Nothobranchius furzeri: one gene and its partner. The protein of the gene in region 2 interacts with the protein of the main gene of each other region in a pairwise test. Links are inferred from orthologs where the notes say so. Each region holds a gene or a part of one and is shown on either strand. Other genes may lie near its edges.

Region 1 (5,378 bases), on a different chromosome or scaffold from region 2:
TCCTGCAGTAGCTTCTGACAGTCTCCTACACCTACCTCCTGCAGTAGCTTCTGATAGAAAATAGTCTCCTACACCTATCTCCTGCAGTAGCTTCTGATAAGTCTCCTACACCTATCTCCTGCAGTAGCTTCTGATAGAAAATAGTCTCCTACACCTATCTCCTGCAGTAGCTTCTGATAAATAGTCTCCTACACCTATCTCCTGCAGTAGCTTTTGATAAGTCTCCTACACCTATCTCCTGCAGTAGCTTCTGATAGATAATAGTCTCCTACACCTATCTCCTCCAGTAGCTTCTGATAGATAATACTCTCCTACACCTATCTCCAGCAGTAGCTTCTGATAGAAAATAGTCTCCTACACCTATCTCCTGCAGTAGCTTCTGATAGATAATAGTCTCCTACACCTATCTCCTGCAGTAGCTTCTGATAAATCTCCTACACCTATCTCCTGCAGTAGCTTCTGATAGATAATAGTCTCCTACACCTATCTCCTGCAGTAGCTTCTGATAGATAATAGTCTCCTACACCTATCTCCTGCAGTAGCTTCTGACAGTCTCCTACACCTACCTCCTGCAGTAGCTTCTGATAGAAAATAGTCTCCTACACCTATCTCCTGCAGTAGCTTCTGATAAATAGTCTCCTACACCTACCTCCTGCAGTAGCTTCTGATAAATAGTCTCCTACACCTATCTCCAGCAGTAGCTTCTGATAAATAGTCTCCTACACCTATATCCTGCAGTAGCTTCTGATAAGTCTCCTACACCTATCTCCTGCAGTAGCTTCTGATAAGTCTCCTACACCTATCTCCTGCAGTAGCTTCTGATAGTCTCCTACACCTACCTCCTGCAGTAGCTTCTGATAAATAGTCTCCTACACCTATCTCCAGCAGTAGCTTCTGATAAATAGTCTCCTACACCTATCTCCTGCAGTAGCTTCTGATAAGTCTCCTACACCTATCTCCTGCAGTAGCTTCTGATAGATAATAGTCTCCTACACCTATCTCCTGCAGTAGCTTCTGATAGATAATAGTCTCCTACACCTATCTCCAGCAGTAGCTTCTGATAGAAAATAGTCTCCTACACCTATCTCCTGCAGTAGCTTCTGATAGATAATAGTCTCCTACACCTATATCCTGCAGTAGCTTCTGATAGGTAATAGTCTCCTACACCTATCTCCTGCAGTAGCTTCTGATAGATAATAGTCTCCTACACCTATCTCCTGCAGTAGCTTCTGATAGATAATAGTCTCCTACACCTATCTCCTGCAGTAGCTTCTGACAGTCTCCTACACCTACCTCCTGCAGTAGCTTCTGATAGAAAATAGTCTCCTACACCTATCTCCTGCAGTAGCTTCTGATAAATAGTCTCCTACACCTATCTCCTGCAGTAGCTTCTGATAAATAGTCTCCTACACCTACCTCCTGCAGTAGCTTCTGATAAATAGTCTCCTACACCTATCTCCAGCAGTAGCTTCTGATAAATAGTCTCCTACACCTATCTCCTGCAGTAGCTTCTGATAAGTCTCCTACACCTATCTCCTGCAGTAGCTTCTGATAGATAATAGTCTCCTACACCTATCTCCTGCAGTAGCTTCTGATAGATAATACTCTCCTACACCTATCTCCAGCAGTAGCTTCTGATAGAAAATAGTCTCCGACACCTATCTCCTGCAGTAGCTTCTGATAAGTCTCCTACACCTATCTCCTGCAGTAGCTTCTGATAGATAATAGTCTCCTACACCTATCTCCTGCAGTAGCTTCTGATAAATAGTCTCCTACACCTATCTCCTGTAGTAGCTTCTGACAGTCTCCTACACCTACCTCCTGCAGTAGCTTCTGATAGATAATAGTCTCCTACACCTATCTCCTGCAGTAGCTTCTGATAGATAATAGTCTCCTACACCTATCTCCTGCAGTAGCTTCTGATAGATAATTGTCTCCTACACCTATCTCCTGCAGTAGCTTCTGATAAATAGTCTCCTACACCTATCTCCTGTAGTAGCTTCTGACAGTCTCCTACACCTACCTCCTGCAGTAGCTTCTGATAGATAATAGTCTCCTACACCTATCTCCTGCAGTAGCTTCTGATAGATAATAGTCTCCTACACCTATCTCCTGCAGTAGCTTCTGATAGATAATAGTCTCCTACACCTATCTCCTGCAGTAGCTTCTGACAGTCTCCTACACCTACCTCCTGCAGTAGCTTCTGATAAATAGTCTCCTACACCTACCTCCTGCAGTAGCTTCTGATAAATAGTCTCCTACACCTATCTCCAGCAGTAGCTTCTGATAAATAGTCTCCTACACCTATCTCCTGCAGTAGCTTCTGATAAGTCTCCTACACCTATCTCCTGCAGTAGCTTCTGATAAGTCTCCTACACCTATCTCCTGCAGTAGCTTCTGATAAGTCTCCTACACCTATCTCCTGCAGTAGCTTCTGATAAATAGTCTCCTACACCTATCTCCTGCAGTAGCTTCTGATAAATAGTCTCCTACACCTACCTCCAGCAGTAGCTTCTGATAAATAGTCTCCTACACCTATCTCCAGCAGTAGCTTCTGATAAATAGTCTCCTACACCTATCTCCTGCAGTAGCTTCTGATAAATAGTCTCCTACACCTATCTCCTGCAGTAGCTTCTGATAAGTCTCCTACACCTATCTCCAGCAGTAGCTTCTGATAGAAAATAGTCTCCTACACCTATCTCCTGCAGTAGCTTCTGATAAGTCTCCTACACCTATCTCCTGCAGTAGCTTCTGATAGATAATAGTCTCCTACACCTATATCCTGCAGTAGCTTCTGATAGGTAATAGTCTCCTACACCTATCTCCAGCAGTAGCTTCTGATAGATAATAGTCTCCTACACCTATCTCCAGCAGTAGCTTCTGATAGATAATAGTCTCCTACACCTATCTCCATCAGTAGCTTCTGATAGATAATAGTCTCCTACACCTACCTCCTGCAGTAGCTTCTGATAGATAATAGTCTCCTACACCTATCTCCTGCAGTAGCTTCTGATAGATAACAGTCTCCTACACCTACCTCCTGCAGTAGCTTCTGATAGATAATAGTCTCCTACACCTATCTCCAGCAGTAGCTTCTGATAGATAATAGTCTCCTACACCTACCTCCTGCAGTAGCTTCTGATAGATAATAGTTTCCTACACCTATCTCCTGCAGTAGCTTCTGATAGATAATAGTCTCCTACACCTATCTCCTGCAGTAGCTTCTGATGTCTCCTACACCTACCTCCTGCAGTAGCTTCTGATAGATAATAGTCTCCTACACCTATCTCCTGCAGTAGCTTCTGATAGATAACAGTCTCCTACACCTACCTCCTGCAGTAGCTTCTGATAGATAATAGTCTCCTACACCTATCTCCAGCAGTAGCTTCTGATAGATAATAGTCTCCTACACCTACCTCCTGCAGTAGCTTCTGATAGATAATAGTTTCCTACACCTATCTCCTGCAGTAGCTTCTGATAGATAATAGTCTCCTACACCTATCTCCTGCAGTAGCTTCTGATGTCTCCTACACCTACCTCCTGCAGTAGCTTCTGATAGATAATAGTCTCCTACACCTACCTCCTGCAGTAGCTTCTGATAGATAATAGTCTCCTACACCTACCTCCTGCAGTAGCTTCTGATAGAAAATAGTCTCCTACACCTATCTCCTGCAGTAGCTTCTGATAGATAATAGTCTCCTACACCTACCTCCTGAAGTAGCTTCTGATAAATAGTCTCCTACACCTACCTCCTGCAGTAGCTTCTGATAAATAGTCTCCTACACCTACCTCCTGCAGTAGCTTCTGATAAATAGTCTCCTACACCTACCTCCTGCAGTAGCTTCTGATAAATAGTCTCCTACACCTATCTCCTGCAGTAGCTTCTGATAAATAGTCTCCTACACCTACCTCCTGCAGTAGCTTCTGATAAATAGTCTCCTACACCTATCTCCTGCAGTAGCTTCTGATAGAAAACAGACGGTGAAACTCTAGGATTAGAAGATCCTGACAGATCTACTACGTCACACTGTCACTAACATTCATGGAGTCACCCATCTGGACTCACGACGGGGAAGGCTGTTTTTGGTTTAGCATCCAGGAAACGGCAGAGAACGTCTCAGCTAGTAGAAGCTAACTGTTAGCATTAGCAACTCCACCACACAGCAGAACTCCTCCAGGCTTGTGTTATTTGTGGAGATAAAACATCAACGTTGCAGAGCAGACAGTCAGTGGTAGAGTCGTGTTGCTGTTAGCCAATCAGAGGAGAGATGTCCACAGAAGACCAAAAGCCCTGCCCCCCGAAGCTCAACTCTGATGCGGCTCACTTCAAGTTCCTGAAACAGGAGAACCGGAGCTTTTTCCCCAGAGAACAACTTACTAGGCATCCATTCCTACGAGAGACCACTGCAGACGAGTGAACCACGTCAAAACAAGACCGTTAATCCGATCGCTGGGAAAAAAAATCCTAACATTCCTAAGTGGAAACAAACAGCTCAGATGATCTAAAACATCTAAACTTCCACTATTTTAATCCGAGGATCTAGGAAATCAGAACCAGACCTTGTTGAGGATCCAGAGATGCTAACCAGGAGGAGCAGAGGCCTCGTCTGGGTCTATACAGCTTGGTTTGGTACCGAACCACGGCCACAAGGATCTGCAGCCGGTCTGGGTGGGCCTGTGGAGAGAGGTTCTGTTCTAGATCAGTAGAACTACTCAGACCTGCTCCAGTGTCGAGGAGGAGGCGGAGCTACCTTTAGAGAAGAGGCAATGGAGAAGGATCGTGGCTGGATCTCAGGGAACAGGTCCAGGAGGTGATCCACTCCGAGTTCACTTGTAGTTTGAGGGAAATCAGTCAGAACCTGCAAAACGAGCATCAAACCGGTTCAGAGGCTCCGGACTGGGTCAGCGGTTCTGGACCGTTTAGTCCCCACCTCCAGCGCTGTGCGTCGAGGTCGGTTGCAGTAACCGTGCAGCTCTTCCTGACCGGCCGCTGAGCTGAACTCCATCAGCTTGTCCCTTTCCCGCTCGTCGGTGGCGAACGTTGACAGAAGCTCAAAGAAGGAACGCCGCGGCACAGCGGCGATGTCCAGGTAACGCTCCACCAGGTGGTGCACGGTGCACGGCTCAGGAAGTCCCGCTGGAACTAAGAGGACAGATCAGAGAAGCTTTAGGACCCCAATAATCCCTAAGGAGACGGATTTATCCTAACCCAAACGGTCCGGAACACCGGAGTACCTGCAGCGTTCCCCGTGGGTTTGAGAGTGAAGCTGGATTCTGGGTCCAACCTGAGCAGCTGACAGAAGAGCCGAACATCTGCTGCAGCGTTGTGAGGACGAATCATCACAATGTCTCCAGCTGCAAACCTGCTGAGCAACATC
Region 2 (6,122 bases):
ATGTGGATAAAGTAATTGCCTGCCTGCTTTACCGACTAGAAAAACATAACAGTAGAAACGTTGATTTTTGTCTTTCTTTCTTTTCTTCATGAAGAACAATTTGTGATCTGCTTCACTTCAGAGTTCCGACTCATAGCATAAATTCAAACAAAACAACATAAAAATCAATAAAAATGTATACAAGTGTAAATATGAAACAAATTCACTGACTGACAGTTACGTAATTCATTTAATTGTAGTTTTATTTGGGTTTGGAACACATAAAAAAGGTTTACACGGTCTCGTAGCCCAGGCTCCACATCTTTTCAGAGGTGCAGCTTGATGATATTTATTGATATATGTAAGGCATAATGCTAAATTGTAATCATAATCAACATGTTAACTTCCTACCCCTAATAAATGTGTAAATCGTAACTCAACAGCTAATGGAACATTTTTGGTTCTTGTTTTTACATTTCTATACTGGGTATGAAATAAATCTATGTTAGTTAGAGCTGTTGTCATAGTTTTACAAGTCGTTATCATCTCATGTCTTTAATTTAGAGAGTGGGTTTGATGACATCAGTGACATGAGTCCCGACCCCACACAGCTCGTGTTGACCCTCATGAATCTTTCCAGGCCCTGAGCTGTTAGTGGAAACTACTCATGACTGAGTCCTCTTTATTGTGCAGATGTGACGCTTTACCACAACAATAAAGGATACAGATCTAGTTTCAGAAGCTTGTGGGCCTCTCTTCACATTTTCCAGTGTACTGTCCTCACAGGCCTCATTTTGTCACAAATCAAAATGTTTCTATTGAATATGTTTAGTGTTAATTGGGCAGTACTGGAACATCTTAACTCTCTGTAAGACCTATCAGACAATAATAAATAAATAATAGGGAGTGAGTGGGTCAGTCGTGTACTGTCCAAAGAGCCAAGACGAAGCCTAATTAATCAAACAATGTTGTCAATTTGTACTAGGTGTTCAGGACCTTAATAGCTTGTAGGAAAATTGGCCCGGACATTTCTAGGTCAGGAAAAACAAAGGCCACAAGGAGGAAAGAGTTGAATACTGGTGTCAGGCTTGTTTCATCTCAAGGGTTTCACATGGCAAATTCAATGGACGGACTTTGGCGTATTAATACAGAATGAAGTTGCACAAAGATGCTCTGGTGCAGCGAGCCTCCTTTGAATGGACGAGGGAAACTCAACACCATACTAATCAATTTTCACAACTTTAAATCCAGGCCAGTGGATTAAATTATGCATGCTAACGGATTGTGAACAGCTTGATGGAGAGAAATATGATCCAAATGAAGATAATCATTTGAATTGAGACACATTGTTTTAGTGACCTTTAAAGAACGATTGGGACAGATTTTGCTTCTTTGACAGTTTGTGCTGAATAATCAATGTTTGTCAATACTTGCACCAGTGGAAAAATTAGAACTATAATGTCCACGTAAAAGTATCATAACATGCAGCTACGGGCTTGATGTGACTTGTCGGTGACATAAATTCAGCTTATTATTTACTTATTACAACAATAATTTTGACTTGATAAATCTGTCATAACAAGCTCCACAAATATAGGAAAATGCTGCATCCTGCAGTGTGTGACATCTAAAAGGTTTGTTCACATAATTTCACAAGCACACATTTGTTATTGGTCACTGTCCAAAACTGAGAAGATAAGCTTTACTTACCTAAGAATGGTGGAAGGTAAGACACAGCCTCCAGAAAGGGTCTTGTTTCCACCTGTTTGTCAGCCGGCAGCTGCCTGAACTGGTGCTCCATCAGCAGAGCCATCTCTGTAGTCTGCACACGCTAAAAGCAAAAGGCTGCCAAAGCCTGTGCTGCAGATTCAGTGTGTCACCAAGACTAGGTGAATCAACACACACGCACTAACTCACACACTCAAGTTACCTACTTTCAACCCAGGTCATGGAAGGACATCCAGCTGCCGGCAGGCTCATGTGATCAATTAGTCTACATGGGACATTTATTCCTCTATCTATCTATCTATCTATCTATCTATCTATCTATCTATCTATCTATCTATCTATCTATCTATCTATCTATCTATCTATCTATCTATCTATCTATCTATCTATCTATCTATCTATCTATCTATCTATCTATCTATCTATCTATCTATCTATCTATCATCTATCTATCTATCTATCTATCTATCTATCTATCTATCTATCTATCTATCTATCTATCTATCTATCTATCTATCTATCTATCTATCTATCTATCTATCTATCATCATCATCATCTAACTGTCTGTCTGTCTGTCTCTGTCAGAATAATTATATATTAACGAAATTGATAATAATAATAATAATAATAATAATAATAATAATAATAATAATAATAATAATAATAATAATAATAATTGATAATTTCCACCTGACTGAATATAAGTGACTGAATTTATTTCTAACAACAATTTAAACTGGGAAGATTTTCCCACCATTTTTTGTGTTGAAACTCACAAAAATCACCTAATTATATCCGATTTATTTATTTGTTTGTTTGTTTTATCAGCGCGCGTAAGTTGAGGTTGTGACAAGAAACGAAATGAGAAAAATCTTTTCGCGTTTCTTGAAATGAACACTTTTGGCCTTCGCTTGATTCCGTAGCGTTGGAGGGGAGTAAACCGTCTTTGGTAACTAAGGAAATACCTGAGAGCGGTTGTTTGAATTTGAATTAAAAGCGAAGACGGTTTAAATTCTTAAAGGTAGGCTTTTGTGTCCAAATGATACGTGCTGATTTATTTGAACGGTTTCTCTGCTGAGAGGCTAAATGTGGTTTATGGAGACAAACGAATCTAGGAACCGCCATTGTTTTCGTCAGCTGAGTTAGCATCTACGTTAACACAAACGTTAGAAACAGCGTCTTGTGCTTGATATAGACTATTATATTATTATATAGGCTTTCCATAGACTAATCTCAAGTGATGCCAGGTGTAACTGTGTTTAACTGTTGAGTTGCTTTTTTTTATTTTGTTGCTTGTGATTCAGACTGATGGCTTTTCCCACACGCTCGGTCCATCTGTCCAGTAGGAATCGGTGCCGGGTGCTGGAAGAACAGAAGGTCCAGCGTCGTGAGAGGGAGGCTCAACAGCGCCACCAGTGGGAGCTTCATTCTCGGTACCTAAAGGAGCAGGAAGTCCGCTGTCAGCAGCAGGCGGCCTGGAGCTGCCAGAGGTGCTTCCAGCAAAGGCACGCGCGTCTTTTTCTTACTTTGGGAGGGTGTTGTTGCAGCAGAGACGACTGGGGCCAAATCTACCTCATCGTGATGTAGAAGAGATAGGGCATGGGGATTCTTCTGTGATGCCTTCAATGAGATTGTAAATAATAATGCTCCATTCCGTTAAATCCGTGTTGAAGGTCGAGATAGCCCATAGTTTACTCTGATGAGTGAAAGCGATGCTGCCTAGGCAAAAGCTTGGAAATCTAAACCGGGAAGGGACTGGCTGTCATTCAGACGACTGCAGAATCGTTTCAACTCCACTGTAAATAAAGTCTAATCTGATTTTTATCTGTCTAAAAACTCAAGTCATCATGAGTGATTTTAGAAGGAAATCAAATAAAAAAGGATTCTCACTTAATAACCAATAAATCAGCTGAGCACTTTGTTTAGTCCGGTTTTCTCTGAATCTAAATCCTCACCTACAAAAGCCTAGAAAACAGCAGCTTACCATTTCACCTTCCTCGTTAGCTCACCTTCTACCACTCAGTCATTCAGTTTGATCCCATTTGTTGTCTCGGAGGTCCATAGCATACTGAAAAGTTTAGATCCAAACAAATCCTGACAGACTTGATCCTTTTTGGAAGCAGACTTCATAGCAGAACCACTGAGTCATGTTTTTAATATTGCCCTATCTAGTAATGAATTTCCTAATATTTGGAAATCTGCTTTTGTTTCCCCTCTAGAAAAAAAGAGACATCTCTGTTGTCAATAATTTCAGACCAAATTCTAAAATGAAATGTCTTTTCTTGTATATTCACGGTTTGGATCAGCAGACAAAGATGGCAACAAAAGACAATTGAAGTATTTTTTTTCTCCACTCTTTATTAGCATGTCAGCCTACCATCATTTGGAAGAGGAGGAGCAAAGAAAAGCCTTCCTGTGGAGACACAGAGGGAAGCTCAGAACCATGCTTCAGGAGGAACGAGACCAGCTGGAGGCAGAGCTTCGACAGCTTGTCCCTGACAAAACCACACGAATGAATCAAATGGTGCAGAAAGCTGAAGAGCTTCATTCAGCAAGAGAGGAAACGAGAAAAAAAGTAGTTCCCATAAATATTTTTGTTATTGATGGTCAGTGTTTTGCCACGTATGATTCTGTTCTCGTAACTTCTCTGTTTTTGTGTCTTCTAGATTGCACAGGAGCTTCTGAGAGAGCACTGGAAGAGAAACAATGCAGAATTACGACAGGTAAGTGGGTTTGAACTATTCATGCAAAAGTGATTAAAGCCCCAAATCTGGGCTGCACCAATGTGATTAATGACTCTGGGTATCAGGTAAACGTCTAGTGTGTGTGTGAAGGACCTGATAATCCAGGAAAACAGAGACTTTTTGTTCAGATGTCCATTTGATCTGAAAACTTATAGCTCTAGTGAGGCACACGTTCCATTACTTTCAGTTAACCTGAGTCTAGCCTTTGCTTTAGAGAGTAAAACGCTCTGGTTTCCTTTCCTCTAGGGGTCAGGTTCATCAGCACCTCTGTCACAACTCAGTCTTTAACTCTGTCTGCAGGCTGAGTCGGCGTTACATAAAGATCATGTTGTCAGCCGGTGGCAGGAGCAGGTATCTGAGAAGAAACAGGTAGGATGATCACCCCGAGTGTTCAATTAAACATGTCAAATGATGTTTATGTCAGTGTTTAATCCGTCCAGCCAGCCATTAAAGCTGCCATTATCCTTTTACATCACCAATTATTTATGTAGCACATCTATTTTTAATCAAAGTGCTTATGCATTCTGTGAGCACAGGATCACATCTGAAATCTCAGGTTAATCCAACTCAACGCCGTGCATAGTTAAGAAAGTTTGACACTTGATGTGAGCAACCCGTCTCATCAAACATGCAGAAAGAAGTGACAGAACGAGAGGAGAAGAGGCGCTTTGAGAACGAGCACGAGAGGACTCGAAAAGAGGCGCAGGAGAGGATGAAGCAAGCGGAGGAGAGACAGAAAGAAGAGGAGCGTAGGAGAGCAGAGGCTCTTCGCCAACAGATGGAAGAACTGAAGATGAGGGAGGAAGAGGTTTTTGCAGCTTCAAAAATAACATCTCTGCTTGTCTAAATAAAGCTTTTCTTCCTAACGGTGTGTTGATGCCCTCAGACCTCCCGTCTAAAAAAGGAGCAACAGGTTCTGATGATGCAGCAGGTGGAGCTAGATAAAATAGAAGAGGAGCGGAAGAAGATAGAAGACAGGCGCAAAAAAGCTGAAATGGGGTATAAGCAGCTCTTTCTGTAGATTATTCATCACAAGCTGATCAAACTTCATACATAATTAACTTTACCATCCAGGAGTTTTTTGATTCGTCAATATAAAGCTCAGCTGAGGAGGAAAGCCCAGCAAGTGCAGGAGGAGCTGGTACGGATCAGCCTCACCCTCAATCCAGATATATCTAATGTTTTATGTAAAATCTTTTTAAAAATCTTTTGTGAACGTCAGGAGGTTGACCGTAAGATCATGGCAGCCCTGCTAGAGGGAGAGGAGGAGGACCAAAGGCTGAAGGCAGCGAGGAGGGAAAGGGCGGTCGCCGACGCTGCCTGGATGAAATCTGTGCTTGAAGAGCAGCTGAAGCTGGAGCGCGAGAGGGAGGCTGAGTTTGAAACTGTCCACAGGTCAGCGTCAAGACTCTGCAAAGAAAAGAGAAGAGGTTCTTCTTCGTTTAAATGCAAACAAATATTTCACGTGAACTTACAGGGAGGACGCTCAGCGTGTGTGGGAGAAACGAGAAGCTCAATGGGAGAAGGAGAAGAAAGCCAGAGAGCGACTCATGCACGAGGTAAAACCGGGTTTCAGTGAAGGTTTCTCAAAAACGATTCTTTGGATTAAAAGATTTCTGTTTTTTCTTGTAAGGTGCTCGTGGAGAGGCAGCGGCAACTGGAGGAGAAAA

What was found.
Region 1: the proteins of tchp (region 2) and ndor1 interact in binary tests that used the Homo sapiens proteins (3 or more experiments, as listed by UniProt). The two-hybrid records come from large-scale screens. The link is inferred for Nothobranchius furzeri from reciprocal best matches to the Homo sapiens genes TCHP and NDOR1.

What each region holds. Positions count from the first base shown.
Region 1 is NC_091746.1:70,906,598-70,911,975, reverse strand, and holds part of ndor1 (NADPH-dependent diflavin oxidoreductase 1), read right to left. Parts: intron 5,364-5,378; coding exon 5,236-5,363; intron 5,144-5,235; coding exon 4,932-5,143; intron 4,860-4,931; coding exon 4,752-4,859; intron 4,676-4,751; coding exon 4,561-4,675; intron 1-4,560. UniProt on the Homo sapiens protein: NADPH-dependent reductase which is a central component of the cytosolic iron-sulfur (Fe-S) protein assembly (CIA) machinery.
Region 2 is NC_091757.1:45,562,077-45,568,198, forward strand, and holds the start of tchp (trichoplein keratin filament-binding protein), read left to right. Parts: upstream 1-2,606; 5' UTR 2,607-2,729; intron 2,730-2,786; exon of another isoform or gene 2,787-2,873; intron 2,874-3,012; 5' UTR 3,013-3,016; coding exon 3,017-3,213; intron 3,214-4,072; coding exon 4,073-4,283; intron 4,284-4,374; coding exon 4,375-4,431; intron 4,432-4,752; coding exon 4,753-4,821; intron 4,822-5,086; coding exon 5,087-5,260; intron 5,261-5,338; coding exon 5,339-5,451; intron 5,452-5,526; coding exon 5,527-5,593; intron 5,594-5,674; coding exon 5,675-5,847; intron 5,848-5,929; coding exon 5,930-6,011; intron 6,012-6,085; coding exon 6,086-6,122. Other genes in the region: gltpa (glycolipid transfer protein), read right to left, coding at 1,690-1,792. UniProt on the Homo sapiens protein: Tumor suppressor which has the ability to inhibit cell growth and be pro-apoptotic during cell stress. Inhibits cell growth in bladder and prostate cancer cells by a down-regulation of HSPB1 by inhibiting its phosphorylation.